Linked DNA regions of Oryzias latipes. The protein of the gene in region 2 purifies or fractionates together with the protein of the main gene of each other region. This does not show direct contact. Links are inferred from orthologs where the notes say so. Each region holds a gene or a part of one and is shown on either strand. Other genes may lie near its edges.

Region 1 (16,195 bases), on a different chromosome or scaffold from region 2:
TGAATGAATCAAATCGTTACAGAGGCACGTTTCTGTTTCCTGGAGGAGAGGCGGATCCTCTACCGTGACTTCACAAGACGAGGAGAGGAGATGCTGAGATGTTTGGGACCACTCCAGAGGAAACAGAAACCCAAACCCGGATGGGCTGCCTCATTCCGGATCTTCTGCAGCTTCAGCGATGACCAGAAATGAGGCAACTTTTACAGGTAAGAACCAACATTCTTCTGTCAAACGCGACACCAAGACTCGGTCCTCTTTACAGGAAACGAAAGTTTAAAACAAATGTTGATGTTTTCCAGGAGGCAAAACATCTGCACCTTTTGGAGTTCCTTAAACCACCACTAGGGGGTCGTTTGCAGCTGCCAATGGCAGAAGTTCCTCATGAGGACACGTCCTTCAGAGAACACAGACTGTGGACGTCCCGTCCAATCCCCACGGCCTCCCCTCAAAGAGTGAGAACCGACCCCACGCAGCTCCATGATGACCCCTTCAGCGCCTCAGAGCCGCTCCTCTGCATGTCAAAGCAGGAGGCAGACATTGTTCTATCAACAGTTCTGCAGAACCCTGCTGGCTCAGAGGATCCACCACGCTGTTTATCAGCTGATCCTCCAGTTTTCGGTTCTGTCTCTGAAAAGCTGTGAAAATACAGTTTCATGTCAAGTTTTTATTTTTCAACCTTCTGTCCAGCAGTCAGAAAAAACAGTGTTTGAACTGGAATAAGTTTAAAATTGACTTTCCCCCCGAAAAGTGTGTTTGTGTAACTTTTCTTGTCCGTTTTAGTTTAGTTGAAACTGTATCGTTGTGTTTCTGCTGTCAGCTTTCAGTGCAGCTTCATCTTCTGCTCTGATCCTTTATTTAAAACTTAATGATGGAACAAATATGTTTAAAACTGTAAAAAAAAGAACATGTAAAACCTGTATTGTAGTTAATTAGTTGATGTTTAATGTGATCTTGTTGTCAATATAACGTGTTTTCCCACTTTTATCGATATTAGGTGTTTTTTTTGTTTTGCTTCAACTGTGATCAGTGTTTGCAAATTTTAAGAGCAGCTATTCCAACAGGTATTTTATTTTGAAATCCAGCTTTTTACAGATTGGAGCAGGGGTGTCAAACTCATTTTCACTGAGGGCCACATCAGCATAGTGTCTGTCCTCAAAGGACCAGATATCACTTATACATGTAACTAAATGTAATGAAAAATAAAGGTAGCTACTCCTTAATGTTAAATAACTCATTATTTATTTATTATAACTTTTTAAATTACAGTTGCATGGAAAACATATGTTTGCTTGTTACTTTAGCATAAATCCTTTTACATTTGATTCTGTCAGGTTAGGTTATATGAACAGTGTTTAAGTCCTAAAGTATAAATTGCCCAATCTGATATTTCAAGTCCATTTCCCCCTAGATATGAATAAATACACACCAATTTTTATTTTCTATTTTAAGAAATTAAAAACTCCTGCGCCCCCACATAAAATGACACGGCGGGCCACATTTGGCCCGCGGGCCTCGAGTTTGACACGTGGACTAGAAGCTTCCTGACTAAAAATGACATGAAGTCGCGACACAACATATGAACACAAAGTGATGAGATCAAACTAGCTTAGTGGGTCAAAGTGTCGCCTAAACAGCAGGTCCACGATTCAAATGTGTTATTTTGACATTAATTTAACATTTAATAATAATTACTATGAATTAGCAGATACATCATTATCTTCATTCACTTCAGCCATTTTTTGTAATACACTACAGTAAAAAGATGCTATTATTAAAAATTAAAATATTTAGACTTTATATTTTATAGCTTACATTCGAAACAGTTTTTTTCAAAACATAATAAAAAAATTCATGTTCAAAAGTGTCTTAAATAAAAAGTTTATCATTTGCATTTTGGGCGAGTATCTGCCTGGTTGCAAACTTGGTTCATGAAACGCATCCGTTGACCCAAAGTGTTCTTGTTCCGCTGAATAGATGAAGACAGTCTGGACCCGAACATCTGCCAATTCCTGACCTTTTTTATTGTAAAATCTGCAAATGTCAAACCAAGAAAGAAAAAAAAACTCGGTGACATGCATTTCCCTTTTCACACACACGGGGGCGCTGTGTCCCGTTGAGCAGATAACGGGAAACCTGTGGCTCTTCTAACTCCTTTTAGCTGTTGAACTACAATGTGTGCGTGTCGGTTCTCTGGAGGGCCGAGGAAGTGAACCACATACTTATAAATGATTCCTTTTTAGAAGAAAATCTGAGTTATTGATCAGGTTTTGAAGTCCAGCTCGGAGGAGAAATGTTTTTTAGTCTTTTCAGAATCCTGAGAATCAGTGGAGCCACATGATTAATCTCCACAACTGTTTAATTCAAACAAAAATGTTCATTTAAATGTTGATTCTCAGTCAAATTCCATGTTGTATTGACCTCCAGAGCTTCCTTTAGTCTCAGTGCAAATAGTTAAAAGGTTCAAAGGAATTTATTTGGGGTCAAAACTGCATCTCTAATTATATTTTGTAATTTATTTTCTGGATGATAACATCGTCTTAAACCAACTCTGATGAAAATAGTGTTTTTAACATGTTTAACGTAAAAATAGCTAGTGGGAATGAGCGCAAATAACGGGATGATGGGAAATGAGGTGAAAATAGATCATCGGGTGGAATTTTAATGTATTTACTAGAGCGATAAGAAAACGTCAATTATAAAACAATAATTGAAATTCATTGACTTGGTAGATCCCCTTTAACCCTTGTGCTATCTTGTGGGGTCCAGATGATCCCACTCCTGGTCATCTGGACCCCACAAGATAGCACAAGGGTTATAGGATGAAAGCTTCAAAGTACCTCAGTCCACAGGCGCCCCCTTGTGATGAGTTGGAGTAGTGTTTGCCTCACCAATGACGTTTTTATGAGAATTCAGGACATTTCCAAAAGTAAGCACGTTAGAAAAGATTCCTGTCACACCGATGTTTGTCCGACTTGATCCTTCCAGGGAATCATTTCTGATCCAGCCGAGCTGAACTTCACCTTGATGGTCTGAGTGGAAATGAGGACGCTTAGTCTATTAAAGTCTAACTTTTTATTTTCTCACAAAATTCCCTTTTTTCAATCCTAACATAAAACTCGGGGAGGACGGTTCATTGGATGAACGGGCCTCAAACAAACGCAGAAGGTCAGACCTGAAAAAGGCCAACAGGTCGTCTTCCCGGGGTCCTCGGTGGTGACGGTGAACGCAGCTCCTCTCAGAACCGTCCAGCAGGACCTCAGCGGGTCGGATGAGGACACGAGCTCAGAACCTCTCAGTGGAGACGCATTCACGCCGAGTCCCGCCTCTTTTCCTGTTAGGTCACGCCAGTGATGTGCTCGTGAGGTGTGCATGTGAGGCGTGCACGGTTTTGTTAAACGGCGTGTAGCAACCAAAGACAAACGTAAATATGAATCAAGCTCCGAAGTTACTCGATCTTCATCACAACCCTTCTCCTCTTCAAAGTCCTAGTTCATAACTGACTAGAGGGGGCGGGGGGAGGGGGGGTCTGACGGCCTTTCACATGAGGAACTGAGCGACCACATTGGCCACGCCGATCACAATGAGAAAACTGTGGAGGACGGCAGACAGCCAGGTGAGCCGGCCCTCCCGCTTCAGGGGGATCATGTGGACTAGAGCGGGAAACACGAAGACCAGAGCCAGGCCGCAGATGGCGCCAGAGAACCTGCAGGAGAGCGAGAAAGAGAGAGAGAGAGGCGTCAGCATCCCGCTGGACCCGCCCTAAACGCACGCGGACCTGCGGCCCGGTGGAGGTCCTGCTGCTCGGGGGGGGGTTGAGGGCTGCTGGCCTCAGAGCGTGCAGACGACGGAGGCCGGGACCTCCAGCGCATCTTCCTGCAGGACCGCAGACCGGACCCACATGGAGGCGGCTGAGCGGCTCCCCATATGGAGGAGGGAGGGGCTAAATACGGTTCAGGATTCTGTCATTCAAGAAGACAGATGATGAAGATCCTCTACCCTCAGTTACATTTACTCTGATTACTGTTTGACCTCGAAGACTGTAAACAAAAGATGCTCAGTTTGAACATTTACATTTTATTATTTGGAAACAACTTTTGCCTTATTTTAGAATTATTTTTGTCTTTCCACTGATTTAATAAAAGGAAGAGTATTGACCTTCTTAACTACTTTCTTTTGACCTTTTACAGTCTTTTTTCCCTGAACTTGAGGACGAACTTCCCATCAAATCTAAGAAAGAATATCCCCCCCCCCCCCTCCCTCCATCTCCAGGAGACTAGAGAGGTTTAATAAAAAAGGGCAAAAACAACCATAAAAAACAACATTTTTATCAACATCTGAACTTGTTGAGACCCTCAGAGGCCTCGCTTTGAGCCGGGAGCGTTCACGTTCATCAGAACTCACCGGATGATGGATCCAATGTTGGGATAAAACTTGGCCATGAGAACGCCCAGCCCCACTATGAAGATGTTTAGAACCAGAACGTGGAAGAAGCTGAGGAGAGAATGCAGAACCACTATCAGACATTATTTATATAACTCTGTTAATGGTCTCATGTTCCTCTGACATGACATTATTCGGGTTCTGTTCAGAGCTTTGCTTTAACTGGGTTTCTTTTCATGACGACACAGAGAATTTATTATTAAGTGAAGCAGAAAACCAAACATCATGGTCTCTGACAGCATCGTACCTGGGGTAATGGTTTCCAAAGAACTGACCCATGACCTGAACCCTCACCAAGTACCCCAGCATAGGATAGACCGTGACCATCTGGAACAGCAGGCACATCCGAGCCACGAAGACCAGAACATCGTTGCTGGGAAAGTTATCCAGGAAGTTCTGGAAGACAAAGATCCGGTCTGAGCTCTGATCCTGAAAATGAACCTGGTTCTCTCTGCTTCCGACCCGTCCGTCCGTCCTGAACACTACTTTGGTTGAAGTCCATATGGTTCAGGAACAGACTGCGGTCTGCTCCTCACATCAGACGGTGTTTACACCGGCCAGGAGTCTGCTGAAAAACTCTGACCGCTCTGCGTTTGTTACACAGTCAGAATAGATCAAACCACGTGCTGATCATGAAACGCCCTGAATGAGGTTAAAGATACCTTTTTTCCCACGTGTGTGAGTGTTCAGCAGCAGCATTTTGACGTAGTAAAAATAAAAAAAGGTGGAAACCACAGTGACTTCAGGTTCCTCTACAATGGAGCTAAAAAGTATTTGAGTCCCACATTCTGCAGGAGTTCCCACACAAAGAGCTGAGTTTGGTCTGTTTGTCTGAGAGATGAAAGATGTAAAAAAAATATCCAGGAAAGAATTTCTTTGTATAACGGTGCAGAAAATAAGCATGCTTTTTTTTTTCTTTTCAAGGAGCAGCAATAGTGCCCTTTGTTACACGTGATCCCAGCTCTCTTCAGGTCATCGCTCTGGGCCGTTTCCCCACCGTTCTCATTTATTCTCCACCAGGTGAGATCTTAACGGAGCTCCAGGTGGAGGGAGATTGTCTGTGATCCTCCATTTTCTAATAATTGCTCCAACTCTTGGGCCGAATCAGAACTCTTCCCCTTCGGGTTCTCCCTATCCTCAACTGCAGGGGTATCAAGAAGGATTGGGGTGTCCGAAATAGCTTTTTTAATAGCAAACCTCTGCGGCGTTGCTGTGCCGTGGAGGACAAACGCATTTCTTCATGTGGGTTTGCTCTGAAGCACTGAAGTTTACATTTAAATGCAAGTCATCACTTTTTTGTTTTAGCAAGACTTTTTACCGTTATAAAACCGATGTGGTTATGCATTTTCCGAGCGCTGGCAGCTACGCCACAATGTGGATGACCTGCGACTATTGATGACGTCATCAAGAGAGAGTGGCGTCCGAATTAGAAGACACCTTTTTTTTCCATAACTCTCCGTTTGGAGGGCTAAATGTAGGGGGTGGGTAGAAGCAGAGGAAGAATCTGGATTCTGCCTTGATCTCTTCTCTCCAAGCTGCTTGTTTTATTGTAGATTGGTTCATCGAGTCTCGTCCAGATCTACAGTCTAGTTCCTGGCGTCCTTTGACAGCTCTTTGGTCGTGGTGGAGAGGCAACAGTCTGACTGGTTAAGGGTGTGGACAGCTGTCTTTATACAGATACCCAGTTCTAACTGGTGACATGAATACAGGCAGAGCCTCTTATAAAATAAGAAACAGGTCTGTGAGGAACAGAATCCTTGTCTGTTTGTGGGAGATAAATATCAATTTTCTTCACCTTTATACAAATAAATTATTTAAAATCCTGGATTCTTTTACCACATTCTGTCTCTCATAGTTGAAGTGTTTGTATGATGAACATTTCCGACCAAACTCGGTTTTTGACACGGAACAAGCTGCAGAATCTGGAAAATACATAAACTTTCTTACCCCACCGCTAAAACAAAGGTGTTAGATGTATTCAATTGTTTTGAATTATTAGCAAACCCACTGGTCAATGCAAAACTATGTTCAGTCAGACAAATGGAAAAAAAAAAAAGTTTGGAGATTTTTGAAAAAGGCCTGATTTTAGTTCATCATTTCTCACTAGCTGGCTACTGAATGTAGCTATGTGGAAAGAGCCGCTGCTCTAGACTATGGTACCCTCACACATAATACAGAATACCATTAAAGGCTCCAGCACCAACAGAACCGACACCAGCAGAACTGTGGAACTGTTCTGAAAAGCTGCATGTGGGGAGGCTGAAAACCACGCGAACCTTCAACAGTTTAAGGGTCTAAAGCTTTTCTTGGTGGTTAACAATGCAATGATTTGGAGGATCATGGGAAACCTTGGGTCTCCATCCAGAATGAGGTCCGTGTGCAGCTGGTGTCCCCCCCTTCAGCCCCTCAGCGCTGGACCGTCTGCTGGAAATCTGACCAACCTCTGTGCGTTTTTCCACGACTCTAAAAAAAACGTACCGGCTGGATGCAGTCTTTGACGAGAGGCGGTGAAGGAAAGGAGCCAAAGATCAACACCCCCACGTAGAGGTATGTCAGCCCCACCAGGAGATACGCCACAGACAAGTCCCGAACCTGAAGCATGAACAGACAGGAGCATTCCAAACTATCAGGATCTACAAACACCGTCAACATGATTTTCTGCATTTCTGTCCAGTCTGGACACATTTCCATCTCAAATTAACTGAATTTCTTTCTGGGTCCTCAAGGTGGCGCTAAAGTAACACTCAGAGAAGAACATTTACGCACCGACACACAGAGTCCAGAGTGTGGACTTTAAAGATGACAGAGTCAGGGATGCAGCAAAATTAAAAAAAATAATAAAAACATTAAAAAAGCAAGCAAAACTACACTGAGAAAAACTTTCAAAATGTTAATTGGGATAGGAACGCCGTTTGCATGTTACTCCAGACAGGCTTTAAAGACCTCATCAAAAAGAAATTTTAAAATTTTTTAAAAAAAACCTCATCATAAGCCACGGTTACATGCAAGAAATAACTTGATCCGATCAAAGATTGATCCTCTAAACGTGGTTTTAATGTTGAAGCGCCTGTTCGCTCATCAATTTATTTGTAATCCCTGTGGTCGGTGCTTTTTTTGTGGCGGAACAGAGCTGGAAGAAGGGTTAGTTGAAGGCTAACAGGCGCTAACAACAACATTTAGCCTTCGATGAACATAAATCCATGCGGGAAATGCAGCACTCTGCATCTTGGCTGCATGTAAATAGGTGGGAATAACATCATCCTTTATTTTGTCAGGACACGACTAGAAACGGTTTCTAAGGACTAAGCCCCCCCCCCTGCCCGTAAGCACAAAGCTGTAAGTCCGGCTGCTGAGCTCACAGACGCGGTTCAGTCGCACGGACCAGCCGGTCGGTCCTGTTTGCGCTCCAAAGCTTTCTCTGGAGGATCGTCTCTGCGTGACGTAAAACCAGAGCAGCAGTGACACACGCTCGGAATGAACCGTTTACATGATCAACGGTCGGCATAACCCACCTATCTGAAAGAATTTTGATCCAAACGAGTCTGATCGGAGCAGAGTATTCCGAACACTGTGTTTACATGACGCATTTTCCTTCCGATCAGGCGTTCATTCCGATTACTTTTGTCCATGTAGACGCAGCTATAGAATGAAATGATCCGTCTGTCCAGTCTGACCCAAATCTGTCTGAGTCTGTAGACGTTAATAGAGAGAAAGGTTATTAGATTCATCCAACAGCTACTTACTGATCGGGGAGGCCTACTGTCCCTAAATAACTGCAGTTACAGCCTAGACTTATTCAATAGGTTTGTTTTCAAGGACTTTGATGACGGAGACGGCTCACGTTGTTCTCCTGATGCTTGTTGTTCTTCATCAGTGTGATGATGCAGTTGTGGATGAAGAAGGCCAGAGTGAGGACGCCGGTCAGCTGTGGGAAGAGCGCCCTGAACTCTGAAACAGGAGGAGGAGAGACCCCACATCAGCTTCAGGACCACCACAGTGCTCCAAAAGGTTGGGCGGCCTGATCAAACATATTAAATAGAATGTCACTGGCAATTAAATATTTACTGTTCTTTATTCATTCTGTCTTGTAATGGTCAAAAGAGCACCTGAACTACTTGTTTTGCTTGTCTGACATTTTGTCTATAAAATATATAAAACAAATAAATAAATAAAAACGTCTCCTCCACGCCAGAGGGAGAGGCGCGATCTCCGTTCAGGAGACATAAAAGAGCGTTCCATCATCTGCACAGGATTTACCTGGAACATAGAAGTGGGTGGGGTCAAACCAGTGGAACTCCAGGTGAAAGCCGAGGCGCACAGCTTTGATGGTGACCAGAACAATCAGGTAGACGACAGAAATGGTTCCTGGAAGAGACGATGTGAAGTGATGAAGCCGTCACCTGGCTAGCCTCCAACCAAACAACTGAAACGACGTCCCTCTGACCCGTTAGACTCCGCTCAGCATCAGAAAAAGCAGGTCTGAACGGATAAACGCCACGCTTCCTCCATGTCTGCTCCACATAAAGTCTGAGGGAAACCCGCTCCAGCTAACCCCATGGATCTGGATCTGTCTTACCCAGGAAGGTGAAGCGGGCGAAGAAGGAGGCGGAGCGGAAGCTGAGCAGTGGGAGGAGCAGAACGATGAGGTAGAGCGGGACCGTGTTGGTTTTACTCCAGTAGCGCCCAAAGGAGATGTCGTTTCCGGCATCGCCGCCGCCGCTGCCGCAGTCGTCCCCCTCCGGGTGTATGACCGGGTACGGACAGATGACTGCAAACCAAAAACAACGGGATACCGCATCAGTCCAAGCAGACGCAGTCAGCCAGCGGACCGGTACCGGTCCAAAGGACACGGCAGCAGAGAGAAAAAAGTAACATGTTTGTTTTGTCTTATCTGATCCTAAAGGACGTTTTATTTTTGAAAAGTACCAGAAAATGAGTTTTTAAAACAAAGGAAGTCCATACTAATAATCAAAACTATCAGAAAATATTCCAAAGAAAAACAAATGACAGTCAATGCCACTAAGTAAGATTCATGTAACGATGATTTAGCCGTTCAAAAGGAACGCTTACCTTGATCGGAGCCGTTGTTTCCAAACTGAGAATCTGACACGTTGATGTTGTGAGCCTGATCTGCAGACGACACAGGAAATCTGCTTTCTACCACAGAAAAACACGATGAGGCCTAAAGGTAAACGTGGAAGGCCAGCCCCCACCCCGCCCCCACAAGGTACAGAATTACCATGACAACAAGAAAGGATGTGAAGAACTTCAGCACCTAGAAAACCATCCCAGCATAGAACCATTCTAACGGCAGAAACTTTCTCCGCCTGCAGGAAACTTTGATATTATTATTTTGTTTATTTGTGTGTGTGTGTGTGTGTGTGTGTGTGTGTGTGTGTGTGTGTGTGTGTGTGTGTGTGTGTGTGTGTGTGTGTGACACTCACTGTAGATAAACTGCCCCGTGTTGAACAAGAAGTTGGACATGAGGACCCAGTAAACCACCATGGCTCCTAAGAGCGACACCAGGGAGAAGAGGAGGCTGGACCACTGGCCAAACTTTCCAAAGTAGTGCCGACACACGTCCGGAAATTCCCAGTCTGTGGTATCCACGCTTTCTGAAAAACAAAGGTCTGCCATTTCACGTGGAAAACATCCGATTCAAGGACCTGAAAGGTGAGGAAAATCCTAAGACTGTCAGGCAGCATCTGCTCTGACGAGCATTCAGGCCCAAATCCTGTAGAACCGTCATGATTTTCATCTGAGACAGCAGCTGTTGAGGACTTTCTTTAAGCCCCCCCCCCTCCATTCTCAACTACCAGAACCGCCAAATGTTGCAGCTCTGTTGAGCCATGTACAGAATATTATTGGGGGCGGGCCGGGGGGGTATTTTGATGTTGAAAAATGTTCTTTAAATCCCACCCATCTATCCATCTGGCCTTTTTTTTTGGTTGGTATCGTCATCAAATCAGTGCTGGATCCATTAAACAAAAATGTCAAACCTGTTTTTGTTTATTTTTTCAATGACAATGTTTATCAGAATTTCAGAATTAGGTGTTGAATTTGGTGATGAAGCGTTTGGCACCGACATACGGGCTAAACTTTATGAGGACAAACCCCCCCTCAAATGTTTTACTGGATCCATTAGGCTTCCACCAAAGGAATATTTTCCAAAATGAACAGAACTCCAAGTAGAACTGATCTGTGGGTTTAAATAAACAGATTCACTTGGAAAAAGAGGCTTTAAATTTGGTTTCTTTTAGAAAATTAACTTTTTTTTCTGGGTTTTAGGATTTCTCCGTTTTGGCGTTCGACTCGTGGTGAAAACAGAGAAAGGTTGGAGTTTCTTTGTTTGTACTTTGGACTATTTCTGAACCAAACAAATAAAATCAAACATCTAGCATCTGATCACAGTCTGGCCTGAATGCTGACGGGGGGGGGGGGCCTGACTCACTGATGGTCCTTGGCGACTTGAGGACGATGTAGCAGCAGTACAGAGTGAGCAGCCCTGTGAGCACCAGGATGACGACTCCCAGCGTGAAGCCAGCCTGCAAGCAGAGTTCAGACAGACAGGAAGCCTTCAGGCGTGCAGAACAGAAACAGGTTTCCAGCTGCTGAGCGCGCTCAGACGGCAAAAGCCGCTCCATGGGGTGGAACTAAAAGACGTCACCTGTTTGATGCCCCACGGTATGCTGAGAATGGACGTCCCCATCATCGTGTTCCAGATGGCGAAGCTGCAAAACCAGAAGGAACATCAGAGCTGTGGGAGGAGGAATATGGCGCTTGGGGGGGCGGGGGGGGGGGGGGGGAGGGGGGGGGGGGCGGGGGGGGGAGGGGGGGGGGCTCACATGGATATGAGGCTGGAGTTCTTGGAAGTCTGATCTCCTTCTGGGATCTTGAAAGCGATACCAAGAGGACTGTAGATGTAGATCTCCTCAGGCTGTGGGACCACATGGTTTGGGGGGCTCTGGGAAAAACATCAGCAGAGGGGGTGGGGGGTCAGTTGGAGCCAAACTGATATTGATGAGCCTTTGAAAGCTGTAAAGTCATCATGATTTTCTGTCTCTGTGATCTGACAGCATCCTGACATCAGCATAAGAAACAACGACCAGAAAAAATGTCATCTTGTTTTAATACTCTGACACACATGGAAGCGATTCTGTAGCATAATTAAAAATAAAAGTCAATACTTCAAAATGCTTTTTCATTTTCTACTTAAAAACCGCTTATTCTGTGTCATAATTAAAGCGAAAATGCAAAGAGGGGATCGCATTTTCATTTTCACATCCACCCTGCGAATAGTGTTGCATAATTCAGTCGACTTAGCATTTCCGGAGGGGAGGCGGGGCGATGACGTCAGTGCTATAACCGTGTGTCCGGCTGCTAAGAGACTTATGCGAGGAGCAGTGCGGCCAGGCTTGTAGCTTTGTGTTAGCGGCAGAGGAGCTGTGACGGTTGTGAACTCCTGATGAATTTACACAGCTTCTCAGGACTACGTCGCAGCATTTCTGCCTTCAGACGCACCGCGTTCCGTCGAAACTTTCCCCAGGACTAGCTTTGTCTTCGGACCGGCAGCCGGATCGCCGAACGGAAGTGCTGCTACGCAGATCTGAGATACTCTAAACCAGGGGTCGGGAACCTTTTTGGCCAAGAAACGCCACATATTTTGAAATGTAATTTCGAAAGAGCCATACATTAATGTAGTGTCCCTTTCCCACACTGAGGCACGGAGACTTAACCTCTTTTAAGGTTCCCTGCGCGGTTCACCTTACTGGCCGTGCCCCCCGCCCCTGCTTTCTTCCTCACACATCCCGTCCCAGCATCTGCGCGCTCTTTCTCAAAGACGGGAGCGCCCAGTTTTAGGCACGGCAATTCACAGGTTTCCGGCTGGTACAAACTCTGTGAAATAATAGATAATAGTAACTGATAGTGCTGGTGTAGATTTTGTTCTCCAAGCACCGCTACTACTGCGCGCCTCTGGCATCGCATCGCGCCCCAGAAGGACTGGTCTAATGAATAAAAAAGTATAATTAAAGATTTGTCTGCGAGCCACATGTGACCATCAAAAGAGCCATATATGGCTCGCGAGCCATAGGTTCCCGACCCCTGCTCTAAACCATCACATGAATTTGGGTTTCCAGTGGTGTCCAGACAAAATAAAGGCTGATGTATGCAAGTCCCACATATTTACGTCCATGATGCTCATTGCCCGCACGGAGTTTTAAGTTCCTCCACGGCTAATATTTTTAGCAAATATTAGCCTAATGCTATAATTGTTTTTTCATTTCAATTTTAAGTTAAAAATATGCAGCTTCATTTTGAAAATAAAAAAGCATTTCTGGTATTGACTTGTTTTTAATTATGCTACAAAAACCCTTCCATAGACATAAAGAATATGGCGATTATTTGTAGTTTTTAAGCGAGAAGGATTTTGTAAAACTGTAAAAAAATGAGGCGGATGAGGAATGTGAGTCAGGCGTGAAGCTGCACTTCCACGTCTGGCTGAGGAACACCTCTGCGTCCTCCAGGAAGAGCTGCCACAGACAGAGAGTCTTCCTCCTGACCCAGACCCACCGGACACTGAAGGGATTTCACTTCCTTCCATTTCTGTGGAGTTTCTAACATCAACTGCACATTTTCTGAACGCTGAAAAGATTTCAGGGGGTCGTTTTGTGGACTTCAACCCTACAAATCTCTCCTTCATGAGCTCTTTTCCATACAAACACCGACTCCTGCTATAACCCTTGTGCTATCTTGCGGGGTCAAATTGACCCCACCTTTACATTGACGTGTTCTCCCTACCATGACAAAGGTGGATAAAGGTGGAAAGATTTCATGTAATCCATGGACACCAGTAAAGATCACAAATCATTGAAGAAAAAAGGTTCAGCGCACTGTCTAGTGGGGTCCAGATGACCCCAGTCCCAACGTTAACGTGCCTCCGAGGCACGTTAACGTTGGGACTGGGGTCATCTGGACCCCACAAGATGGCACAAGGGATCAAATGTGCATCGAAGCGTTTTTAGAGCAGCTGTCAGGACGGAGATCCTGATCTTTCTGGTGGTGCCAGCAAACCCACCAGCAGCGGGTCAGAGGAGCCCGTCAGCCGGCTGTAGTAGTGCAGTCTGCTGTTGAGGATGGCGGCTTCGGCAGAGATCCTCTCCTGAGGGTCGTGGTCCACGATGTTTCGAGGCTCCACATAGAAAGGCCTGCGGGAGCACAAGAAACCCTTATTTAGACACCTTCTGCAGAGTCAGCAGCTCAGACGGGTAAAGTTTCCTGAGTCAGCGTGACAGAGGACATCTTCCTGTGCAGCGTCAGCTTTACAGCTGCAATAACGTTAGGCTGGAGAGACACACGGACCAAGCAGCTGTTTATGGTTCTGACACATCTGTTTTTATTCTGACAGAGTCACCAACATCCGTCATTCCGCCTTAAACCTCGGCCTCGTCTGTCCTACCACCTTAAACCCCATCCCATGCGTCGTTCTGCTTTAAACCTCCACCTAGAACTCCTGCCTGTCCTGTGCTGCACCTCGTTTCAGTCAGACAGTCTGGCTTCCACTTCAGCTTTTTCCTGGAGTTTCTCATGACTTCAGCGTTCCGGTGGTTTCAGTCCCACCACTTGCTTGGGGGGGGGGACGACTTTAAGTTCTCAGCAGGTTTGTGTCTGAAGCTACATGATGATCCACCAAAGCTGGAGATGACTTAAAAAGATTAAGAGTCAAGAAATTGAGAATGAAACCAAGTTTAGCTTTTATAGACCCACTGTGATGATAAGGCTGTTTTTGGGTTTCCAACATTTTCTGACGATGGAGGATATTTACACTGTAAAGAAAATGAAGCTCTAAACTGCATTTATGAGTATTTATCGCTGTGAATTGGAAGCAGATGAAGAAAATTACATTTAGAAAAAGAGCTCATTAGTGATGTAGGCCGCTAATGTGAGGGGCTGTAAGATAGCGGGAGAAAATGTAAACAGAGAGCCCTCGGAGACTGATAAGGGTTGGTGGGGAGGCTCTGCACCAACGGGCCCGCCCACAACTCAGAGGGGAATTTCTGACAAACACCTGCCGCTCTGCAGAGACTATGTCCTAGAAAACAACAAGTTTTTCTATTTTGGCTGGGACCACTGGGAACCAAACCAAAACATGATCAGATTGGGACTTTGAAGACAGCGCATTGATATAAAAAATGTTCCGTTTAATGTGCTAAGATAGCACAAGGGTTAATCCCATTTACAAAAATTAAACTTTTAATTTTTATTTTCTGACATGTATCGTTTTATATTTATGCCTTTTTTGTTTAGAAGTTCACTTTTATTTAAAAAAAAAAAAAAAGGAATTGGGACTTTGCTATTTAGATGTGTTTTGTTTAGGAACCGTGTTTGAACCTGAATAAAAACGTATCAAAGCTTCATTTCTGGCTTCAGCCCGACTGAAAACCTGCAGACAAAACGGAAACATTTCCTTTAGACTCGCCTCTTCCTGGATCCCACAGCTTTTCCACAAATGCAGAGCACAGAGTTCTTCCAGTCATGGAGAAAAATCTGCCCCCCCCAGGAGAAAATATGCAGCATCAGCCTCTATTATCATCCACCCCCCCCCCACTGCAGCATCAACAACATGGATTCACAGAAATGACAACACAAACATGGAACGTCCTCTTCAGTGGCAGGATGTTAATGGGGTGGGTGTGTGTGTGTGTGTGTGTGGGGGGGGGGGGTTGCTAGTCTCTGTGAAATACCAAACAGCTTTGATATTCACATAAACTGCTTATGTGGGGGCCAGGCTGGGGGGGCTTGAGTCTTAGCGTACACGCTCAAAGTGAACACTAGGAAGCTGACCAGAGGAGTGGGGGGGGGGGGGGGGGCTCAGAGTGGAACATTTAACTCCACAAAATCTGTCAGCCTGTATGTGACCCCCCCCCCCAAATACCAGTATTCATGTTAAGAAAACACAGGAGTGTGACAGTGGGTGGAGTCAGAGAGAACAGCTGATGGAGGACAGAAAATGATCTGATGAAGCGGGGGGAGGGGGGGGTCAAGGGTCGATCCCATTTTCCCATCAATCCCACCGAAGTCACATGGAGGGAGTGACCGTTGAACAGCTGTAAAGTCTGAAGGGAACATCTGAAACACAAACACTGAAGCACACTGGGGGGGGGGGGGTCTGGCGTGAAGGGAAAAGACGACTGGCGGTCCCACCTTTTGGCCCTGGCGTCCACCGATCCCGCAGAGGCTTGGGGGGAGTCGGCGGCGTGCTGCGAGCTCAGCAGAGGCCGGCCTTCCTCCTCCATGATCACGCCTTCAGCTGAAGCCTCCCAGCTCTCATCACCTGCTGCACACAAACAGTGAAGCGGTTCCTGGGTCAGTTCTGTGGATGATGAATACCCCCCCCCCCCCCCCCCCAGTTGGTCATGAGCCAGACTGGCTAAAAATCCTGCAGTTCCAACAACTGCTCATTAGGTGGCGCTACCCTCTGAGACGAGCTCCCACTAGGAGGAAGAAGAAAAGCTGCGTCCCGTCAGACTACTGAGGAATCACTGGCAGCTAATCGCCACGGTAACCGAGAAGGCCTTTAAGGGTTCCCGCTTCGTCACATTCACACTACGCCTGTGCGTCTTCCTCACAGAAGGACCATCAGAGGAAGCCAGATCTGCGTGAACCAGGACCAAACCTGCCAATTCTGAAGATCGTGACCACAAATGTGCAGCACCGCAGCGGCAAAGCAAAGACACAAACGTCCCTCTGCTGTTCT
Region 2 (16,798 bases):
CCCCCTTGCCCACCAAGTGGCTGCTGACAGTGCGATTGAGGAAATGCTGCGTGGCGGCATCATCGAGCCGTCAGACAGCCCCTGGGCTTCAGGGGTTGTAATGGTCAAGAAAAAGAAGGGTCCGAAAATGCGGTTCTGCGTGGACTACAGGCCGCTGAATGGGGTGACCAAGAAGGACTCGTACCCGCTGCCCCGCATAGATGAGTCTCTGGACTTGGTGTCTGGCTCATCTTGGTTCTCCTCATTGGACCTGCGCAGTGGATATTGGCAGGTGCCACTCAGCCCCGCAGCCAGACCAAAGACTGCTTTCTGCACCGGGAGAGGGTTGTGGCAGTTCCGCGTGCTCAGTTTTGGCCTGTGCAACGCTCCTGCCACGTTCGAGCGCCTGATGGAGAAGGTGCTGGCCTCCATCCCCCGTCAGGAATGTTTGGTCTACTTGGATGACATTCTGGTACACGGGGGGTCTTTCAAGGCTGCGCTGGAATCGCTGAGGAAAGTCCTGCAGAGGATTGCTGCAGCAGGTCTGAAGCTGCACCCTGACAAGTGCTGCTTCATGAGAAGAGAACTGGAGTTTTTGGGTCACAAGATTGGGGGCGAGGGCATCAGCACTTTGGAGGAGAAAGTGCAAGCTGTGAGAGACTGGCCAACGCCCACCACTCTAAGAGACTTGAAGAGCTTCCTGGGGTTAGCCTCCTATTATAGGCGGTTTGTTCGCGGGTTTTCCTGCATTGCTGCCCCTCTGTTTCACCTGCAGAGGAAGGACTGTGACTTTGTTTGGACGCAGGAGTGTGAGCAGGCTTTCAGCTCTTTGAAGAAGGCTCTGACAAACTCTCCTATCCTGACCCCCCCAGATCCCAAATTACCCTTCATTCTGGATACGGACGCCAGTGATGTGGGAATGGGGGCCGTGCTGAGCCAGATGGGGTCAGCAGGAGAGAGGGTGGTGGCTTACTTCAGCAAGACCCTCAGTAAAGCGGAGCGGCGCTACTGTGTGACTCGCAGGGAGCTCCTGGCTGTTGTCAAAGCCATAGGCCATTTCAGATACTATCTGTGCGGCCTCCCCTTCACAGTCCGGACAGACCACTCTGCTCTGCAGTGGCTGATGACCTTCAAGGAGCCAGAAGGTCAAATCGCTCGCTGGCTGGAGGAGCTGGCTTCATTCTCCTTCACAGTGGAGCATAGACCGGGCTCCCGCCATGCTAATGCTGACGCCATGTCTCGACGCCCCTGTGCCCTGGCAGGCTGCCAGTACTGTGAGAAAAGGGAGGCTCGGGAAGCAGTAATCAGCAGAGAGGAGCAGAGCCACACCGGTGAAAGCAGCTGGCCAGTTTGCAGACTGGTGCAGGGTGTGGACTCCACTGAATGGAGAGCGCATCAGGAGCAGGATGTTGACCTGCAACCAGTGCTGCAGTGGGTGGAGGCCGGCCGCAAACCTGAGTGGGGGGAGGTGGCAGGGTGCTCCCCCGGCTCCAAAGGACTCTTCGAAAAGTTTGATGCTTTGAGACTGAAGGATGGAGTACTTCAGAGGGCCTGGAAAGAGCCGGCTACCGGAGAAGAACGGTGGCAGGTGGTGGTCCCTCGTACGCTGAGAAACTCAGTCCTCCAAGGTTGCCATGGAGCTGCAGGGTCTGGACACTTTGGCGTGTCAAAGACCCTCCGTCGCATCCGCCAGGGGTTCTACTGGGGCCAGCTTAGGAGGGATGTGGAAGACTTTTGCCGCCGCTGTGACATCTGTACAGCGCATAAAGGCCCCCCTGATCGGTCCCGCGCTGAGCTCCAGCAGCTGGCAGCAGGGGCACCAATGGAGAGAGTAGCAGTGGACATCATGGGCCCGTTTCCACGCACAAACAGAGGTAACCGATTTGTTCTGGTTGCCATGGACTACTTTACAAAATGGCCGGAAGCATATGCCATCCCAGACCAGGAAGCAGTGACTGTTGCAGATGCCCTGGTGGAGGGCATGTTTTCTAGGTTTGGCGCTGCTGAGGTCATTCACAGTGACCAAGGGAGGAACTTTGAGTCTGCTGTGTTTTCCGCCATGTGTGAGCGTTTGGGCATGCGGAAGACACGGACCACCCCCTTACACCCCCAAAGTGATGGCTTGGTTGAACGTTTTAACAGGACCCTGGTGAAGCAACTAGCCATCCTCACCTCAGCACACCAGAGCGACTGGGACGAGCATCTTCCACTCGTTTTGATGGCATACAGGTCTGCAGTGCAGGACTCCACCTTATGCACACCTGCTTTGCTCATGTTGGGACGAGAGCTACGCACGCCAGCAGAAATGTCTTTTGGGAAACCCCCTGATGCCCTGGGAGCTCCGCCTGGACCTGAATATGCCAGGAAGCTGCAGGACAGAATGGACACGGCTCATGCCTTTGCCCGCAATCAACTAGAGAAAGCCGGCATAAGGCAGAAGAGGAACTACGACCTGAGGGCCAAAGGCAAAGACTTCAAGGCAGGAGACCTGGTGTGGGTGTACAACCCGAAAAGGAAAAAGGGTAGATGCCCTAAGTTGGACTGTCAGTGGGTGGGGCCCTGTGAGGTGCTGGAAAAGCTGGGAGAAGTGGTTTATAGGGTTGAGCTCCCACCTGGAGGAAGGCGTGTGACCCTCCACAGGGACAGACTGGCTCCGTATAGGGGTGATGCACGGCCACAGCAGTACTTTGGGAGGTCGTTGCCCCCCTCAGCTACCCCCACCCATGCTAGGGCTGGCCCCCCCGCCAATTCCCCACATGCACCCCCACAGCAGCAGGTGGTCTCGGGACATCACATGGCGCCATCCGTGCCGGCTCCACGGAGGCCCAGGAGATTGAGACAGCCTCCCCCCCACCTCCGTGACTTTGTGTGTGACCCCACGGGACGTGGGACTTTGTAGGGGGGAGGCAGTGTAGCGACTAACGTTTTTGGGACTCTGTTAATGTGTTCTGGGTTACATCGTTGCTCCAGTGTGATTGGATGAGCGGGAGAATGGGCGGAGGAGCAGACAATAAAGGAGGGGTCGTGGGTGCACGAGGGGGTTGGGGGAGGATGGATGCTTTGATGGAAAGTTCTGATTATCGTTGTGCTGTATTTGGCGTGGTTACGGCCGACAGTAACTGTTCCTAAGTCATTAAAAAGCCTCACGGTTAGAAACGGTCGCCTCCGCTTCATTATTGCGTCAGTGGGACGCTACAGTATTAACAAAGGAAACAGACGCCAAGAGTCAGGTAGGAATTCCACGAGGAGAGCTGGAAACAGACAACCCTTCTGCTCCGAACCGCTCTTCCTCAGGGTGACTGTTCCAGCCTCGCACTTTTATTTAGGTCTCTCTAGTTACACCATGAGTGAATTATCTATACGTCACACGGTGGTTGTCAGTAATTTTCTGCTGTAATCACAGGAAGTTCTGTCTTTCATGATCAAATTATCTCACATTCCAGATGCTTCTTTCCTTTCTGCTGAAGTGATCACTTTTCTGAAATGGCACACGGAAGGATTCCAACCCAAACAACTTTATTTATGTAAGAAAAAACACAGAACACAAAAACTGTCTTAAAAACAGAAGTTTGAATAATAAAAAAAATATATACATTAAACACCGAGAAAAATTACAAATGAGAATTGTTACTCTGAATTTAAAAGAATGTAATCAGAATTGAAAACTGAGCTACTTTCTGATCAAATTCTGCCGTTTTGATCAAATAAAAAGTTTTCACTAATAAATGATTCTGTCATCAATATTTATACAGAGACACTGCCGGATAAAAAACCAAAGGTTGCTTTGGATTTTTCTGTTTTGCTCAACAGTAGAGGAACGACTCCTCCTGCTGGCCGTGGACTTGAACCAGCAACCCCACAGCAGCAGGTTCATGTCACTAACCTGAGTTACTGGGAGGGTGAAGGAGTGAGAGTGAAGTGAATGGAGAGGATGACTGCAGCTCAGAACCAACCGCTGAGGTTATAAACAAAGTGAAAATAAGTCTGAAGTTTTAAAAGGCTCCCTTTGTTTTATTTCTTCTTTTTCATGCTCACCTGTTTTGTTACACCTGTCCTCTAAAGCTGCAGCTGGATTTTCCATGATTCAAGTGAAAAGACTGAATCATGAAATGAAACAAACATGTTTATTGTTTCTCATCTGGAAAATAAAAATCCATCAATTCTTCCTTCAAAGAGCAAAGAGATGTTTTTAAAAAGTATTTCTTGACTTTTAGCTTTTTAAAATCTGGTTTAAAGATAACAGGAAACACGTCCAACTTTTAAACCAACATTTTTATTAACCTTCAAAATAAAAGCATGATAATTGTAAATGCAGAAAAGCACGATTTTCCAAAGTTCTGCCAGAATCCAAAATGATCCGTTTCTGAGCAGCAGGGGGCAGAATGGAGGACATTTTGGAGAGACTCACACCCACACAGATGAAAAGCAGAAAGTTACAGAAGTCCGCAAAGGCCTCAGATCAAGCACTCTTCACTACGATGCCGCCACCTGAGTCAGCGGCTCCTCCAGGTATTGCACCAGCGCCTCCGCCTGCAAGCACACACACGGTCACAGAAGGCGGGTTCAGGTGGGGAACCAGAAGCTCATCCCGGCGGGTGTTCGTATTTCCAACCCGACTTTGAGAGCTGCACAGATCATTGTGCATGAGAGCCAAGGTTAATCTGGGGAATATGGCCTCTTCAAAGACTAAAGATAAAGTTTAAAAGCTTTTAAAAAGAAAGCTTTTCCCTCAATCTGTCATTTTTTCATTGCTCTTTTCCTCTTCTCTGATTGTTCTTCTGCAGGTGTTTGAAAAAGTGATGTCAATCAGGGATTGTAATGTTTCTATTATCATTATTAGGATAAACTGGATTATGAAAAATATAAAAAAAAAACTCAGTAAGGGTGGGTTTATATAAATCTGCTCCTTCCTGCCCCTTTAAAGAATAAATCAAGTTCTACTTGACTGTAGTTAATTATCACTATATGTAATCAATCAAACGTGACCTAAATGCGTCTTTGTTTAATCAATGCATTTCATTCTTTCTGTGATGACCTTGATAAATCAGAGATATTTTAGGACTGACATGCAGGAAACCAGGGTTCGCTTCACAGAGCTGGGAATTAACAAGCAAGCAATTGAATTGGTGAGCAGTAAACACCAGTGAGTGAGGGCCCTTGGGTAAGACCCTTAACGCTACCAGCATGAATGTGCATGAATGATCCCAGTGATGGTCCGAGGGACCGTAGGCGCGAACCAACTATGAATGAAGAGTGAATGAATAATGGACACATTTGAAGCGCTTTGAGTGTCTGGAAAAGCACAGATAAATCCAATCTATTATTATTATTAATTCAATTAAGGCTTGAAATAAACCAATAAGTCAAATCAAAATGAAATTACCGTTATATATATATTTTTAACATTACAGATAAATACTCTACTAGAAGTCGGCACTTCCTGAATGGATCAGGACGTTTTATTGTCGTAAAGCGGAGCAGGAATACGCCACCAGGAGGCGCACAAACACAGTTCGGGAAAGTTAACCAGTTGTTCACAGATTCAGACTTCCTGACACAATAAGTACGGTATATCAAACATTTTATACTGACAGCAAGTGTCTATATTGGCTCATCTTAACTTACCAACGACTTACAAAGACTGTAAATAGTAAATAAATAAAAATTGCTCTTTTTTTCATTCTTTTCAAGAGAATGAAACTGATGGTGGGCTGATAAGGGACCGCCTACAAAGTGCAAGTTCTGGGAAAAATAGACCAAGATAAATAAATACATAATAATAATAATAATAATAATAATAATAATAAAAATACTAACGATTAGTCAATGGTTCTGTTGAAAGTCACAAATACTCATCATAATTATGCTACAACGATGAATTTGGAAATTGATTATTTGATATTATAACAGGGAAATGAATCACATCTGATCAAAAATGTTCAACAGTTCTGAAGATGTTAAGGCTACAGTCACCAAACTTTCTCATAGGGCTAATTAACCTATTTTGACTAGTTAACTATTAACAAGTTTGTACTAGTTTATAGTTAACTATTTTTTCTATTTGATAATTGCATTACTTTTCCTTGATTGTTGAAGATACTTCCCAGAAGTGCTCTGTTTACGTGTAAAATGCTAAAAGAAGCTTAATAAAATTTTAAAAATTTGGAAAATGTTGATCTGTTTATTAAGTTTGTCATTTTTTTTTGGATGTGCTACGACAGTAACAGATCGGAACTCGGTATCGGCAGCAACTCCAAATCCAATAACTTGGAATCGGAATTTGATCTGAAATATGCTTCACTTCCACTAAACTACATAGAGGAGAGTGAATGAATAAACGAGTGAATAAATGTCCTTGGTTGAACTGAACTTGTGGGGTCAGGAATCGGGACTCGTTGAGGAACCACAGCTGATGAAGACCCATGTGAGGAAGCAGCGCCCTCACCTTTGCTTTCAGCATCCCGAAGCCCACCGTCTCTTTGGCGTACATGCAAAGCAGCAGGTTAGCCACATGCGTTATGGCCACTCTCCCTTCCTGAGAAAAAAAAAAAAAGCCTTTTTATTGGTCGAGTCCAAAGACTAAAAGTCACTTTTCTTTACAGGTTGTAACTTCCAATCATAAATCCACTAAGTCAGATGGATTTCTCACAGAACACTGCTTTGCTGTTAGTTTGCGATGCTCAGATTTACGACAGTATTTATGTAAGCCTGACCTTCACTCAGTTCAGCAGCTCTCAGCTAATGTGCAGACATGAATTATTACTGAATAAGGGGCGATGAGGCGCAAATCGAACTGAATCACAGGTTTGAAAGAATGGATCTCAGCTTTTTTTATGCGACCAAATGCAGCAGGTTTCCCCTCCATCTACAGAGCAAGACTCTCCACAAAGCCCCTCCTCCTAAGGCAGAGTGGGGGTTTTACTGTGTGGATTCGCTGATTTTCGGGAATTAAGTTAAACATTTTGCCTCAGAGCTGGAAGTTAGAAATAAGAAAATCATCTGGTTGTTTGCATGAGCGAAGATTATTTATGTATCATGAGAAAAATGATGCAGGACGTTGACACGTTTGACTTGAGCAATGTTTACAAAACTGTAGAGCGGGGCAAAAAAAAATGGGCAAGGAGTACAAGGAGTGTGTGTTTGGTGTCTTCCTGTGGTGCTATTGGTATCAAGAGCCAGCTCCTTCCATATCTGAAGGTTTGCTCAAGTCCCATTATTCATATTTTGTACAACATTAAAAGAGCCATTTGGTCCCGTTTGAAACAGACCAGACTGAACAGGTGCCACCATGTATGCATGCTAAAGCAAAACTACAAACACATTATTTTATTTAAATAATACACATTTTTTCTTTAAAGTCACAATGGAGGGGGAAAAAAAACAGCTGTGATGCCTCAAATTGCAGACCCCTTCAGAGATGTTGGGGCATTCATAGAATCTAACTTCAACAAAAGGGCTGAAGGAAAACAAGGAGAAAGTTCCCACCATGCAGTCCATGAGGATGAACTTGAGTTTGTCCTCGTTGAAGGCCTGGTGGCCGTTCTTGTCGTAGGCGGCCCAGATGTTGCTGGCGATGGCAGCGGTCACTCGAGCGTCTGTGTCGCCGTAACCGGAGTACGCCAGGAGGGAGCCTTCGTTGTTCAGTAGGCTGCTCGCACAGAGAGACGGTTGTTCATTACACACAAAAACAACACAATGATGAAAAGTTACAGTGACAAAGTTTTAAGACAAACGCCATTCCGTTTTCAAACCATGAAAACCAAGTAATTTTGTCAGGAGGTCTCCAGGACAGAAATTGATCGATTGATGCAAAATGGCTAAAACGATGAACAGATCTATATCAAACAGATCTACATCAAACATTACAGATTACTTATTTTCCCACACCACTTTTTAAATGTAAATCGATTTTTTTTGCTTTTTTTCTACCTGATAATGATATTTTGTACCCTGAACAGACTTTCTAAGCAAAAATAAAAACGAACCAAATATATTTTAAAAAGACTCTTATTTTGAAATCAAAATTCAACTGCTTGAAATTCGTGTAAAACTGTATTTGATTTAACAGCGGAAAACAAATCTTGAAAAAATATATTTGTATTTATTGCAATAAATAATGAAAATGTAAAAGTAGTATTAAGTTGGTGAAGTAATAATTATATAAACGTGTCGTTTCAGGGGAGCTTTAAGAGTTCTAAGGAGCTAGACGCAAACAAACCGCTGCTAGCTAGCTGGATGTTAGCCTGCTAGCTCGCGGTACTCACAGGGTGCTCTGGACGCCGTTCGTGTTCGCCTGGCTGAGAACTTGCGTCAGCGCTTTGGGTCGCAACATGGCCGACCTCTCTCAGGAGAAAAAACCCAGAAAAATGATCTGACTGAATAAACACGGGGCTTAAAAAAGAAGAGAGAACTGCTCAATAACAGAGCAAAGTCAGCTGACTCGATTCTTCTTCTGTTTCCTTTTCCGGTACATTTAGAGATGCATCATGGGAATTGCAGTTATATCCAAATACATGTTTCCTATTTATATTTATTATGTTTTTCTTTAAACTTTATTTTTAAATTTTTAATTATTCCTGATTTTTTCACAAATCTTTTTGTTTTAAATTACTTTCCCATGTAGTCTGTAAACATTTTTGAGAACTGGAATATGGCCATTCATTCATCTTCCTCCGTTTTGTCCATTTCTGGGTCACGGGGCTGCTGGAGCCTATCCCGGCCACTTGTGGGTGAAGGCAGGGGACACCCTGGACAGATTGCCAGTCTGTCGCAGGGCCACAATCACACTCCCATTCACACTCACACCTATTAGAGCTGCTAGAATATGACCAGTTCTTTGGAAATGTATCATGGGAAATATAGTTTGCTTCAGTGAACGACGAAAACTTCACCTCCTTGATTCATCTCCTTTGTCATATTTAGAGTTTTTATCTCAAAGATTTTATGCTTCAAAGAAGTGTACTTTTTATTCTACTTCAACCAAAGAAGTGTTATTTAAATCTTTTGACACTCCTCCTTACAGTAAAGGTTAGTCTGCTTTGAGGTTTTTATTGTCTGCTGGCTTCCTGGTGGGAGGACATGTTTGCGCAAAGTGTTTGGCAGAATCGTTTCCCTCCTGCCCTTTGGACATCAGAAAAAGTGATCGGGCCGAGGATATTATTGTTTTTTTTTTGTCTGTAAGAAGAGGATTTTGTTCTAAGAGGTAAATCTGTTGTGTTTGAGTGGACACACTTATAAAAAAGACACAAACCAATCATTTGTATAAACAAAAGTTGATTTGATTCCATGCTGTAACTGCTATGGTACATGAGTGCATGGTTAATATGTATTCTCTGATATGTGTTTTGGTAAAATTATAGTCACACAAGTGCATCCGTTTACAGTTTTGTTTATACCGTCAACCATTGAAAGCTACAGACGTGGTGTAAAATCAGAGAGGATGTAGTCTCATTTTGGCAGAAGGAAATAAACACATTTCCTTCTAGATATGTGACAAAAAAGTTAACTCTTTAAATTTATAGTAAAACTCTTTGAGGTCATTCTGACACCTCTGAAGTTTAGATGAAAGGTCAAAAAATCAGTTTTTTCTATTCTAGTCTCTGCAACTGAAAGGACAAATGATGATGACGAATAAAAGTGTCTTTTGGAGAAAAGAAATTACAAAAAAAATCTAATCAGTATGTACAGTGTGGCTGCAAGAAAGGCTAAATATCACCAATTTTAAAAAGAGTATGAATTTGCAAAACTTTGAGTGAATACTAATACACCTTTATAAAATGGCAGAAAATACATTTTATTTCATTATCAGAACATTAACCCTTGTGCTATCATAGGCACTTTAACACAGAGAGTTAGGTCATGTAGACCCACTAGAAGTGCTCTGAACCTTTTTTCTTCAATGATTTGTGATCTTCACTGGTGTCCATGGATTACATGAAATCTTTCCACCTTTATCCACCTTTGTCATGGCAGGGAGAACACGTCAATGTAAGGGTGGGGTCATCTAAGATAACACAAGGGTTAAGGCCATGTCACACATTTTGCTTAAGTTCTGTCTTTTGTGAAACATATGTGATAAACGTAATTCATTCATTTGTCAATGGGCACAGATCTGTAGAGGATTTCGGCCAACGACTCTTTGCGTGAGTCTGGTTTTGAGCGGTTTTGAAATTTTGCAGTTTATGCGTAGTTTACATAGCTTAAGGCCTGTTCACACCGGGACAAATTTCGTCGGCGAATTTAACGCCTCGTGACTAAACAAAGGGCACCAATGAGAGTGTGCACACCGACGCGAAAAAACGCCACGCGTCAAAGCGTAAAAAAAAAAAGCGCCTCGGGTTCGTTTTTTTTTTTCGACGCGTCGCGTCGAAATCTACTGGACCAATGAGAATGGCGCTTTTGCACACGTGTCTGGAGCTTCTGAAGTGACAGTAAAACACAACTTGGGGGCGCTCAAACACAAAACTGCCTTGCTGAGCACACATACCAGCGAAGAAGATAGACGCCAAATAGCGTCTACACTGCCACGAAGAAATAATGACGGACATTCTAAAATATCCCCGAACCAAGCACCAGTTGGAGCTACTGGTGCTTGAAATATTCATGTTTTCTTTGTTTGATTCTGACAATCGCGTAAATACTTGCTCTCTTCTTCTGAGTGAAAAGCGACTTTAAGAAGCATAAAGTTGCGCAGCGCCACCTTGTGTACAGGAGTATTTCTGTTTACATTAAGCGCCATCTAACGTCAGGGAATGAAATTGCATGTTGGCTCGGCTCATTGTCAGCGAAAATCGCCTGGGTGTGAACACAAAAAACATGGCGAAAAACGCTGGCGAATAACGCCTGGCGAATATTCGTCCCGGTGTGTACGGGCCTTTACACACAATTATTAAGTAAATCTTAAGCAATTGTGTGAGATTTATGCGAGTCGCATACACATTTTTGACTTTCCATGACCGTTCCACGTATGTGTAACAGACGTTTCATGCATATACTGTTGATGTAAACCTTTAACTTTGCGTATACGGCGCACATATCATGTTCAAATTACGTAAATTCATGTTCTATGTAGATTTACGTGTTCTTTGCGTGGTTTATTCTTACATCTTCCATTGTACATCTGTGGTTCATTTGTACATCTGTGAAAATTTCATGTAAAGACGTATATTCACATATGAACAATTTTCACCTGTGCACAAAATGTACGTAGTGGCTGTGTGACACAGACTGCGAACAAGTTGCTTTACCAAAGCAAATTCATGGTGCTTTTCTTTAGATAAATTATGGAATATTTTTTCAACACAGTATTGTTTGGTTTGTTAACAGGATATTTTTTATTAAAAAAAAAAACAAAGCTGAAAGGTGCCTTAACCAGTAAGCATGATTAAGAAAATAAAGTGCTACACATTTCCAAAACTGCTTTATTGAACTATATGATGATGATGATAGATTAAAAGATCAAAGAAACAAATTTGCCTATTTCAGGTTAAACTGAGCATCATTGAGCTGTGGAACAACATCTGCCGCCTCACTGAAGAGTAAACATCTACTATGAGACGGTTCTCATTAGATCTTATTAGAGAGCTGCTAAATGAGGCGTTTTGTGGTGCACTGCCAACTAGTGGTTAACTGTATATGAGAACTGGATTGAGTGACCCCTCTCCCTGTTGTTCCAAACAGGAAGTGTTTGGAACCTAAATCCCATAAACTTCTTTAGACTTCTCAGTCAATCTATTGGTCAGAAGGACTTCTGATAAACTTTGATAATCCTATTTTTGTCTTGATACATTTTCTATTGTTAAAGGTATTCAAATTATAGATGCCTCAAGCAAAGTAAGGGGAGCCTGCTGGCACCCATGTCGAACGTTTAAAACGTTTGATTGACATGTTTTGTGTAGTCCACTTTAAAATGGTAGAGGTGTGACCTCCCAACATTACTAAGTCCTGATTTCAGAGAGTGGTTGCCATAGAAACGTTGACTCCGCTCAATTTGAACAAATCACAGCTCAACTCACAACATCTGGCTCCAACATGGATAGCACAGGCCAGGAAGTGAACTATTTTCTATGAGTGACGTCACGCTCACTCATTCCAGTTCTCACATACAATCAATGGGTTAAAGTGGAACACAAAAGTAAGACGCTGAGCTAAATGTTTGCTTAAAATTTGTTTTTTAAACATTGTTACTGACCAATAAAATATCGCAATTTTTCACATAATTGATATTTTTCCTACATCCGCAGACAGGATGTCTGTGATGATGACCAAAGGTGAAGGGGTCACAGTGATCACCCTGAACTCCGACCCCAGCAGTTCCTGCCCCCCCATCTGCCAGATCCTCAAAGGTCTTTGCTACAGCCCGGCGTTGTGCTCTGTGTCTCAGCCGCTGAAGAAGAAAGCGTCTCTGTCCATCCTTGGGGTGAGTCCTGGTTTGTTTTACTCTAATGTAAAAACGACAAAGTGACATCACAGCCAACAACACTGTCAGAAGTCAGAGCTCTGTCTCCCTCTCTGGTCACCAGTGGGAACCATCTCCAGAGTTCTAACCACACTTCCTGGATGCCACACACCCGACTCTCATTCACTCATCAACCACAGCATAGTTAAGCTCTGCCCTGAGCCTCACTCAGTGAGAAGTATCGTTTGTGCTGCTCTGCCTTCCTTACCGAGCGTTGTAGTTGGACCGGATCCTCTGTCTCCTGACCCGGTTTCTGACTCTGTTTGCCTGCCGCCTGCCCCGACTCTCGCCTGGATCCTGACTACCCTGTCTCTCCTCGGATTATCTCATATCTGCCTGACCATGATTTAGCTTCGTGGACTTTTAGCTGAGCTAATAAACCTGCTGCATTTGGATCCAGCTGTCTGCCTGTTCTTGTGACAAACACACACGTGATGTCAGCAGAAACTGATCAGTCCATCATTCCAGTCCAATGTGTGGAAACACTGAATTTAGCAAAGTCATGTGACCATACAGTGTGCTAGAACGTTCTAACAATGTTCCTTTTGGATTCTATGGATGTGGAAAAACAACAGTGGGCTGAACTTTAGGAGAATGTTTTGCAGTTTGTCACAAACTGTTCTAGAGTCCTATTTGACATTTAAAGTTCTGGTTAATGAAGCTAAACCTACAAAAACTGTGAAGTTTTCAGTCATATTTGTGCCTTCATAATTTGGAGTAATAACACATTCTTCAGGAAGACCTTATCTTAATCTGGATATTTTCTATTATTTTAGATGTTTTGTTTGTGATGTTTGAAATCCATGACAGAAAACTGCAAACAACACGATGAGGTTTTTGCAGAACACTGAGTTCCTGTGTCTCTCTTACAGGCTATGCAGATTATGATTGGGCTCCTTAACATCGGCCCTGGATTAATCCTCCGCACGAGTCAGCTCACTGCGTGGTATCTAAATATGACAGAGTTTCCTATTTGGTTGGGAGCTTTGGTAAGATACCTGCATAACAACTGGATTTCATTCATGAACTGAAGAATGCTGAAAGCAAAATCCCAGAACTTAATTCCTCATCTGAAGGAGTTGACGTGAGAATGCGTGGTTGCTATGGTGACAACGCTGTAAACAATTGATGCTGAACATTGTGCAAGTTAAAGACAAAATTAGATGAATAATGGATTTGATAATGAAATATGACAGACAAAAGAAAAAAACAAGACATGTAGATATTTGAGAAGAAACTCAACATTACTGCAAATCCTAAATCAATCAATAAATGACCAGAATAAATTGTAAACCAGCTCTAATGACACAAAAAAGTTCAAAAGGTCAAATTATGATAAAATAAATCTTTAGTTTAGCTATTAAAGAAGGTAGGAAGTACAAGAACCTAAAAAAGTCTGATTTTACTGCCAAGAAGGAGGTACAGGATAAAAAATAAAATGCTGTATTATTTGTTAATTGATAATGGAGTTATAAACAATAAAACAAAAAAAAAAGCTAAGATTGTTAAATTTACAAGAAGAATATTTTAAATAGCACTTTTAAAGCCAGTTGATCTCAAACGTATGATGCAGGACTTCTGAAAGGACTATAAATTAGGATGAAGAATGACAGAAAATGGCTAGGGCTCAGGGTTATATGCATAACTTGTATGTTATGTATTATACTGATCATTGATGACAATGCTAAGTGCTAATATTTATTTGAAGCAGATCCTTTATTTTGATTCAAATTCTAAATAAGTTATGGTTATAAACAGTTATGCATTATAATGGATACATATAAAAATGAAATATGCATGAAAGCCAAAAGATACCGTGAAGTGATGAAGGTGAAATAAAAAATAAAACAATAATTTAAAATTTGTATAAATTCAGAATTAGAAAATATGCTAGCATATTCATTTTAAACACCACAGGACATGATGAACCTTTCCTTTTTTTTCTAGTTCATTGCATTTGGCTTCATGTGCATTTTATCGGAGAGGTTTCCAAGTCGGTGTTTGGTGAGCAGTTTTCTACTTTCTTAGTTATTTATTCTTTTCAAATTGGGAGCAAAAAAAGCTCTGCATGTCTTCACTAAAGCAGTACCGTGTTTCATGTTCAACTGTGTAAACCCGTTTTGGGTTCACAGGTGGTCCTTAACGTCATCGTGAGCGTAGCAGGAGTTGCTTTGTCCATCACAGCCATCGTTCTCTACAGCATCTACATAGCAACCATGGAACCCTGGGGCTGCGACTATGGGTACTATCGCTACCCAACCCCTGCCACAGTGACCCAAACACCGCTGCAGGAGAAGTGTAACGAGATCCAACAGCTGACACTGGTCAGTTATGCAGCTGGACGTCTTTCATTTTCTACTAACCTCCTTTCTACCTTTAAACCCGGGCTGTCAAACTCCAATTACCCCAGGGGCACTGGAGACAGAGTCTGGGGCCACATCAGGAATTTAAAGCAAGACATTTACTGAGGTCTCAAGCCTAAATTTGAAAGATGTCCTTATTTCTATAGACCCTGAGGTGTTATGTAAATGAATGGAGCTCATAAACAGATTATTTGTTTACCTTCTTGAGCTTTATGGTTATAGTTGTAACCGCAAGTTCAGGAGCTCCGTTTGAAGCACCAGGAGGTACAGCGGTCCCTCGCTATAACATGCTTCATCTTGTTGTTTTGCTGTTATTTTTAATGCAACTTTCCATGCTTTTTTTCTTTTTCTTGTTTTATACAGCAGATTTATTCTGCAACCTGACTGGCTGCCGACCTTGTCAATCAATCCTCTCCGTGCTGTGTCCCCAGTGTACAATGAGTACCGTTTGCCAAATTTACATAAATGTTCAATCACGATCGCATCTTTGTATCCATTCTATAATACTGGATTTAGTTTTCTATGAAGGTTCTTGAGAGTTGAAAAACAAGAGAAAAACATCTATTATTATTGTAAAACGTAAAGAGGAAACTTTGCACATTTTACTCATAGTGGGTTGTTTTAAAAAAAACTTAACTTCCTCAAAAAAGCAAGGATCCACCGTACATGAGGACTGGAGCGAGTGACGTCACCCCCAGAAAATGGTTTACTCCGGCCAAATGAAGGCAATTCTGTCGCCCATTTTTCTGACTGCGCATGCTGCCATGTTGGAGCAAGACATGGTCAGTGATCAGTCATTGGTCAGAGTCAACATTTCTAGGGCAACCACTCTCATCAATCAGGAGTGAGGTTGTTGGAAGGCTGCACCCCTACCACTAACTTTCCCTGAAATTGAAAGCAAACTAGCCTTCATTTGACCCATAAAACCCCAGAAGTTCTTAGGACATCTTGTGGGCTACTGTGATTTGTCCAGGTCCTCCTGAGGGGCTTGAACGGGGTGCTGATCGTGTTGTCGGTCCTGGAGCTCTGTGTGGTCATCAGCGCCGCCATCCTGGGGATCAAAGCTCTGAGGAGCAACAAACAAAACAAGGTGAGGCACAAAAAATGAGCCAACGACAACTTTTTTAGGAGCTTTTATTGTGAAAGCAGGAAGCCCAGATCTTGAGGTGTTTGAGAAGATCTGATGGAAGAATCTAAATCCTCTTCTCTGCTTTTCCAGCAGGTTTCTGCTCCTTTACAGATTTGAGAAGGAACAGAACATGACCAGCCTGATCTCTGCTGTTCAATCTGATTAAATGTGTTGGACAGAAATATGAAGTCAGATGCAAACCCCTGTCACTGCAGTTTAAAAAGAGACCCTCAGAAGGAATTTCTATATTTTTAACATATATGTGCATGTAAATGCAATTTTGGCTCAAATTTCTTTTTGCATACTTTTACATACTTTGAATGATAACTTTATTCTCACATTTCTGGAAAAAAGGAAGTTTTAAGATGAAAAATTAAAATTGCTATTCTTTCATTTCTTCTAATGACTGCAATGACTTTGATGTTTCGTGTGCTGGATTGAATAAAACTGTACTTACTGCCATCCTGTTTGTTTTTCTGTTTGTCTACAAGGTTTTGTTTGTATAAAAATGATTTTTGTCCAGTATTTTAATGAGTTCAACAGTTACAGGAAACCTGACCAGGGTGTAGCCCGCCTCCGGCCTTCGGTGTTGGGGTTAGGCTGTGCTCAAGCGGACATCCGCCCCTCACAAATGCTAATGTGTCTAAGAAGACTCTCGTTCTTCCAGGTGGATTCCATCATAGTAGTAGTTTTAGGGGTTGTCATCTGGACTTAGTTTTTAAAATCTAAGTCCAGATGACAACCCCTAAACCTAGTACTATAAAATGCAAAGGTGGGATCAAATCTATCTTTGGTTACTTCTCTCCTCAGCATCAAACTCTGTGGCACGCACTCTGTAGATAAGGTTATTTGGAAATTCACAGTTTTATC

The links.
Region 1: the proteins of lamtor2 (region 2) and slc38a9 purify together in Homo sapiens (co-immunoprecipitation; 5 studies listed by BioGRID and IntAct, with this or other methods). This does not show direct contact. The link is inferred for Oryzias latipes from reciprocal best matches to the Homo sapiens genes LAMTOR2 and SLC38A9.

Annotation. Positions count from the first base shown.
Region 1 is NC_019870.2:27,094,779-27,110,973, reverse strand, and holds the end of slc38a9 (sodium-coupled neutral amino acid transporter 9), read right to left. Parts: intron 15,776-16,195; 5' UTR 15,735-15,775; coding exon 15,643-15,734; intron 13,647-15,642; coding exon 13,517-13,646; intron 11,405-13,516; coding exon 11,286-11,404; intron 11,172-11,285; coding exon 11,108-11,171; intron 10,986-11,107; coding exon 10,892-10,985; intron 10,056-10,891; coding exon 9,885-10,055; intron 9,571-9,884; coding exon 9,511-9,570; intron 9,209-9,510; coding exon 9,017-9,208; intron 8,806-9,016; coding exon 8,698-8,805; intron 8,389-8,697; coding exon 8,282-8,388; intron 7,033-8,281; coding exon 6,919-7,032; intron 4,837-6,918; coding exon 4,688-4,836; intron 4,492-4,687; coding exon 4,402-4,491; intron 3,704-4,401; coding exon 3,538-3,703; 3' UTR 3,058-3,537; downstream 1-3,057.
Region 2 is NC_019874.2:28,614,662-28,631,459, forward strand, and holds lamtor2 (ragulator complex protein LAMTOR2), read right to left. Parts: upstream 8,458-16,798; 5' UTR 8,312-8,457; coding exon 8,244-8,311; intron 7,628-8,243; coding exon 7,465-7,627; intron 6,515-7,464; coding exon 6,425-6,514; intron 4,510-6,424; coding exon 4,453-4,509; 3' UTR 4,233-4,452; downstream 1-4,232. Other genes in the region: uncharacterized protein LOC101171775, read left to right, coding at 12,227-12,397, 13,309-13,425, 14,384-14,440, 14,569-14,760, 15,773-15,889. UniProt on the Homo sapiens protein: As part of the Ragulator complex it is involved in amino acid sensing and activation of mTORC1, a signaling complex promoting cell growth in response to growth factors, energy levels, and amino acids.